Linked DNA regions of Kluyveromyces lactis. Each later gene encodes a partner of the first gene's protein in a complex. Links are inferred from orthologs where the notes say so. Each region holds a gene or a part of one and is shown on either strand. Other genes may lie near its edges. The genes, in order: RTT109 and VPS75.

Region 1 (3,428 bases):
CCAGACCGATTCAATGAGTCTAGTCTGATCCACACTTGCGTCCCATCGTAAGGTTCTACTTGCATCAAAGCCGGTTATGTAGCTAAGTACATTCTCAGTTTGTATTTGTATTATTATCATTATTCTGTTACCCGGCTATGTTGATAATGCCAAAATATTAAGGAATAACTGAATCTTTTGGCGGGTGGCAAACCTTTGACAGAAAGATACAACATTGAAGGAATGCAACCGCCTAAAAGACGATATTCACAGGATTGAGTATCATCAGTGAGCAACTGTATCAAATCATTCCCAAATATAATCGAAAATGGATGGAATTCAAGTTGATATGAACCGCTTGAAAAAGGGCGAAGTGAGTCTAGGTACTTCAATGTATGTATCAATAAGGGAACGTTAAGATTCCTCTTTCCCACAATCGAATCAATCGGTTTTAATGATATCAGTGAATACTAACTAAACTTAATTAATGTTAACAGTATGGCCGTGACTTTCAAAGATGGTGTGATCTTAGGGGCAGATTCCAGAACAACTACTGGTGCGTATATTGCCAACCGTGTCACAGATAAACTAACAAAGGTTCATGATAAAATCTGGTGTTGTAGGTCAGGTTCAGCAGCAGACACTCAGGCTGTTGCCGATATTGTACAGTACCATCTAGAATTGTACACCTCACAATATGGAGAACCTACAACCAAGGTTGCTGCATCGATCTTCAAGACATTATGTTACGAGAACAAGGATCATCTCACAGCAGGTATTATAGTGGCGGGCTACGATGAAAAAAACAAAGGAGAGGTGTATAGTATACCTCTTGGTGGTTCTGTGCACAAGCAGTCGTACTCAATTGCTGGTTCTGGTTCTGCTTTCATATATGGTTACTGTGACAAGAACTATAAGGAAGATATGACTAAAGAAGAAACAATCGAATTTGTAAAACATTCTCTATCACAAGCCATCAAATGGGATGGTTCATCTGGTGGTGTCATTAGAATGGTTGTCCTTACTGCTGAAGGTGTGGAACGTTTAATTGTGTATCCCGATGAGTATGAAAACCTGTAGATTAGACGATAAAGCGGTCTTAACCCGTCTTCTGTAAGCAAAAGTATATTAGTTTAAAGAATAAAATTGGTATATAAGAAGAATAAATCTGAGAAACCTCGGTTTCCTTATCATCAAGACCAATCTTAAGGGGCGTTCGGTCCTGAGAGGTATTCTGCCTTCGGCTTTCCATTATTGGTAAACTTTCTCAGTAGTTAAGATTATCAGAAAGGCATTATAAAAAAGTACAACGGATCATTAATACACTCTTAGCTATGCAAAAATATAGAAATGAACTTGAATTGTTAATTGATAGAAAAGCCCAGCAGATATTATGATATAGTAGTATGTCCTTAGAATGTTACATTAAAGATGCACTTCCGTTCGGTCATGAGTTCGAAATCATTAATCTCCAGTCAATTCCACGAGAAACCTCGCCAATAACTTTTCCAAAACGCGAAGCTGAAGACGTTAATGGAAAAACGGTGAAGACCATCAAGACACAACATTTCGTCGCATTATGCTTTGAAGAGAAGGTTGTTTTTGCTCTTGAAATTGTTGTTTATTTCAGTTTGAATTCTGCCAATAATGGTCCCGTAGAAAGGCTCTTGTTCGTCTCCAAAGCAGATACAAACGGATATTGCGATCTAAGACTTGACATTGGTCAGATAACTAAGTCAATAATTGCATATATTCTGGCAATTAGTCCAGGACATTATTTGCGGGCGGTAAAACCGCTGATAAGGAAAGCACTGAGCGGTGCAAAGATTATAAAGAGAAGTACATCAGTACAGAGAGCGTTAGAAATATTATCCAACAGACCGTTGGATTCGAAGGGGATAACTTCAAGGGTTAAAATCCCAGACCAAGATTTATACGTTTCATTCCCGGTTCCGACGGAAATTGTCACAAAGGTAAGTCTTTTTACCAGGGCAGAGCCGCAGTATTTGTTTTCAAACTCATCTAAAAACCCAAGGAAACACGTCCTAAGTGGTGACAAATTGCTCAAATGGTGGTTAAAGATTGTAGACCAAATAGTTGTCGAAGATTTCGATAATAAAACAAAGGCAACCTTACAAATACCGGGAGAAGAGAAAAGAGTAATTTCCAACTATTTGAGAAACACAGCATATCAAAATTGGACCGTAGGAGACATTTTCTCTGAAAGTCCGCAAGACATTGCATTATACAGGATACCATTATTCCCTGATGACCCCAAGGGCAGATTCCTTGACCATCTGATCAGTGATGGACGAATTTCTAAAGTCAATGTGTTAACATTCTGGACAGAATTGCAAGCAAGGCAAGAGTTCAGACTGGGATCAACTGTGTCTGTCATTGGAGTGTCAGGAAAATACATCGGCCGTTGCAATGAACCAGAACGGACTGATATAATTATACCAACCTCGAAGAAGAACTTTAAAAATCTGAAGAACTACATAACTGGAGAAGAATATGACACTGAAGAAGGTGCTGAAGAAGCATACATGAACATTCGAGATATTTTTGACATGCATTACTCCACGAAGATGATAAAAGTTATTGGAAACCACCACAAGATCGCTACTACAAAACGGCCTGAAATAAACACTATTAACGTAATAAACACTCTAAGTGTCCATAGGAAACCTAAATCGTAGTGTGACGGTGCTGATATATATATACTACATAATGGATTCAGGACAATTTGCGCGTACATCACAGCGGATCTCTATATTGGAAGTCAATTTTCAGCAGAAATCAAACAGAGAATAAAAATGTAACAAATTAAATCAAATAAAAATAAAAATAAAAATAAAAATAAAAATAAAAATAAATAAATAAATAATAAAAAATACCTATTGCATTGAGAATAATTATTTGAAATTTGATCCAATGAAATGGTTAAATATTGCGTTTGAGTGTATCTTTGATTGGTTAGATATTAGATGCGATCCTGTTAACCTTAAACTAGTCTATTAGAACGGTTAATTAGGTCGGAGTATAGTACACAAGTAACTCTGAAGATGTCAAGTCTAGAAGATTTGATTCCTACGGTGAATAAGCTACAGGATGTTATGTACGATGCAGGCATTGACAGTTTGGATCTACCGGTTTTAGCTGTTATTGGATCGCAATCTTCTGGTAAGTCTTCGATCTTGGAAACGTTGGTCGGGAGAGATTTCTTACCTCGTGGTACTGGTATTGTTACCAGACGTCCTCTAGTTCTTCAGTTGAATAATATTGATCCGAATTCTCCATTGGTTTATAATTATGACAATTCTTCATCTACGTCACTTGAACAGGTTAATGACGAGCCAGATGCCCGCACGGAGAAGGAAATGACCTTGGAAGATCATTTGAGAAAGAATTCAAACTATAAGCCTGAAATAAAGAATGAATGGGGTGAG
Region 2 (2,976 bases), on another chromosome or scaffold:
AGAATGGCCTTCTCCTTGGGGTAAAGGAAGACCCGGCTGGCACATCGAATGTTCTGTTATGGCCAGTGATATACATGGTTCTGTAATAGATATCCACACAGGCGGTATTGATCTAGCTTTCCCTCATCACGATAATGAATTGGCACAATCCGAAGCCTGCTATGATAACCATCAGTGGATTAATTACTTCCTTCATACAGGTCATTTACATATTGAAGGGCAAAAAATGTCAAAATCATTGAAGAATTTTATTACCATTGAAGAAGCTCTAAACAAATACAGCGCTCGTCAGTTAAGACTTGCATTTGCTTCTGTGCAATGGAACAATCAATTAGATTTCAAGGATTCGTTATTAAACGAAGTGAAATCTCTTGAATCTTCATTTACTAATTTCTTCAAAAATATAAGGGCTTTGAATAATGACTACAAGCATTCCTTGGGTTTAGGAAAGATTGTTAGCAAAAAATTGTCAAATGAAGAGAAGGCTTTACTCAACGTTTTGAAATCAACTCAGGAAAAAGTTCATGCTTCCTTTTGTGATAACCTATCTACACCACAGGTATTGAAACATCTTAATGAACTTTTGACTAAATCTAACAGTTACATTGCGAACATTAGCTCTGAACTAAAAATTGAACCGCTATTGGCAATTACCAGATATATAAGTAAGATTCTCGGTGTCATCGGATTTCAATTACGTTCTGATGGCTTAGGTTGGTTGGACGATTCATCTTCTGATTCTTCCCCCGACGTTTCAAAGGAAGACATCGCTCTACCTTATGTCAGATGCCTCTCTTATTTCAGAGATGAAGTTCGTCAATTGGCAATGAATAAAGCACCTTCATCGCAGTTTTTACAAGCTACGGATAGACTTAGAGATGAAGAATTAGTCGCACTAAATGTTGCAGTAGATGACAGACAAGGTCAAGCATCTCTTGTCAAATTTTTGACTGATAAAGAGAAAGATGAAATCATGAAAATCAATGAGGAAAAACTTCAAAAAGAAGCTGAAAAACAGTCAAAAAAGCTTGAGCAATTAAGACTTCAGGAGGCTAAAAAGCAGGAGAGACTTGAGAAGGCAAAAATTTCCCCTCAAGATATGTTTAAGAATGACCTATATTCCGAATGGGATGAAGATGGAATTCCAACTAAAGATAAAGATGGTAACGAAGTTACTAAATCAATGAATAAAAAGTTAAAAAAACAATGGTTGGCTCAAAAGAAACTCCATGAAGAGTTTTTCCAGTAGTGAAGCTAAATGTGTTGCTTTTACTAATTATTTAATTTTATAGATATATCTCTTTGTGTTTATTTTTGAATTGTGCAGTTGTATTGAGTTTATGCAAATGAAGATCTTAAATTTTTTTCTTTTTGTTAACGAATTCTTAAGTATCTTACAATTAGCATATTTTATTTCTTTATTGGGATGATTGACTACTATATATTATAAGCTATAACGCCAAGCAACCAAACAACAATTATGTGCATTGCAAACTCAGTATGGTATGTACTAAGATAAATCAATTTAGATTTTGTGTTCACTGCTGTTTTAATACTAACATTTGAAATTGATCCTTTCTTTTGCTCGTGTTCAGTGGAAATGCTTTCAGAGGTTTAGCGGAGTGTGAGGACGAAATGGCACTAGCTGAAAACGAGGCCGAGTTGTATAAGATTAAACTTATGGCTCCTGTTTTTGATAAAAGAGATAAGTTAATCGAGAAGATTCCGTTCTTTTGGAATATCGCTTTAACTCAACATTCAGATTTTTCAAATTACGTTAGAGCATCAGATTTTAAGTACATTGAAGCTATAAAGAAAATAGTTGTCAAGCCATTGGCACTTGAAGATGAGGAATGCACCGCGAGGGATTTTCAAATCACTATCGAATTCAATGAGATAAAGGGAGACTTGAAGGCTCAACATGTGAGTAAGGTGTTTAAAATTGAAAAAGATGTATCTAAAATTCTGATTAAGAAAAACAGAACTGCAGAAGACGATGAATTGGACGCTGACCTAGGTTTTTTGACTAGTGAACCTGTTAACATCGATTGGCCTAAATCATATGATAATATAAATCCTGAACTGATATCAGATAAGTCGACTCCAGAGGGTAAAAAGAACTATAGAACCGGTATGAAGACCTTTTTCGCATGGTTTAAATGGACTGGATTAAAACCAGGGAAGGAATTTCCTAATGGTGATGCATTAGCCAATCTTTTTAACGAAGAACTATATCCATACTGTGTAAAGTATTACACCGAAGCTCAACGTGATGTCATGGATGAATCTGACGGTGATAGTGAAGATGATAGCGACGCTCCATTAGATCTTGATTTAGAAGAAGTTAACGATGAGGAAGGTTCCGATTCCAAACATTTAAATAAGAAGACGAAATTGCAATGAACTCGTTCAATGATAATTCCTTTCGTACACTTCATTATTAATGTACCATTCGTTTATTCATGGTTGTTGCCGTGCTAACTTCTGTAGTATTTGTTGTTGTACCTAGAGTTTTTGTAATTTGATCTACTCCCATTGCCACTGTCGTACCTTTTTGAATTTGCGCCACGTAAGGGTTTGTGTACAGGATATTCATGTGAAGTGGGCTGGATATTTTGTTTCAATGTTTTCAAATGGGCTTGTTTAGCTGCTTTGAACTTCGCCATTGGATCGTCACTACTTAAGTCAACGTTTTTATGGTTTGTTTTTGAACATATAACATCTTCAATTCCTTGGTAATGTTTTCTGATGGTTTGTTTTTGGTTTTCAGATTTCTCACTTTTATTGTTGTTCCCTGATAAGTCGAGTAATGTGTCTGTTATTTCCTTTTTACCAAGGAGGTAGTCTACATTTTCTGTCAAAGCTGTGGATGTGTTGTCATACATCCACTCTAACCCTGTTTTCCTCTTAACATTTTTCTGGTCTTCATCCCTAATCAAGCTGCTGTATCGATCAAGCTCACGTTCTTTTTCTATT

The links.
Region 2: the proteins of RTT109 (region 1) and VPS75 are in contact, whole or in part, in an NMR structure (PDB 6O22), measured with the Saccharomyces cerevisiae proteins. The link is inferred for Kluyveromyces lactis from reciprocal best matches to the Saccharomyces cerevisiae genes RTT109 and VPS75. Residues at the interface, in NP_013099.1 of Saccharomyces cerevisiae: Ile25, Lys122, Lys124, Arg128, Tyr130, Leu137, Ile138, Ser139, Ala140, Pro144, Thr147, Leu148, Leu151, Arg154, Ile166, Leu175, Tyr176, Lys353, Ser354, Arg355, Lys356, Gln357, Ala360, Lys363, Tyr364, Glu368, Glu374, Glu378, Thr381, Asn382; in NP_014153.1 of Saccharomyces cerevisiae: Lys59, Ser63, Gln64, Val66, Ala69, Asn70, Ile72, Arg73, Ala74, Ser75, Phe77, Lys78, Ile80, Asp81, Lys170, Arg173, Lys177, Val213, Lys214, Tyr215, Tyr216, Ala217, Glu218, Gln220, Arg221, Asp222, Leu223, Glu224, Asp225, Glu226.

Annotation. Positions count from the first base shown.
Region 1 is NC_006042.1:1,189,470-1,192,897, reverse strand, and holds RTT109 (H3 histone acetyltransferase RTT109), read left to right. Parts: upstream 1-1,385; coding exon 1,386-2,678; downstream 2,679-3,428. Other genes in the region: SFI1 (Sfi1p), read left to right, coding at 1-17; PRE3 (proteasome core particle subunit beta 1), read left to right, coding at 308-372, 477-1,059; dynamin-related GTPase DNM1, read left to right, coding at 3,045-3,428. UniProt on the Saccharomyces cerevisiae protein: Histone chaperone-dependent acetylase that modifies 'Lys-9', 'Lys-14', 'Lys-23', 'Lys-27', and 'Lys-56' on histone H3 (H3K9Ac, H3K14Ac and H3K23Ac, H3K27Ac, and H3K56Ac) to promote nucleosome assembly, genomic stability, DNA repair and transcriptional regulation during mitotic S-phase.
Region 2 is NC_006039.1:272,845-275,820, forward strand, and holds VPS75 (Vps75p), read left to right. Parts: upstream 1-1,480; coding exon 1,481-1,503; intron 1,504-1,595; coding exon 1,596-2,403; downstream 2,404-2,976. Other genes in the region: CRS1 (cysteine--tRNA ligase), read left to right, coding at 1-1,249; U2-type spliceosomal complex subunit CWC25, read right to left, coding at 2,478-2,976. UniProt on the Saccharomyces cerevisiae protein: Histone chaperone which acts as a cofactor stimulating histone H3 acetylation by RTT109. Preferentially stimulates histone H3 'Lys-9' acetylation by RTT109. May also stimulate histone H3 'Lys-56' acetylation by RTT109. Assembles nucleosomes (in vitro).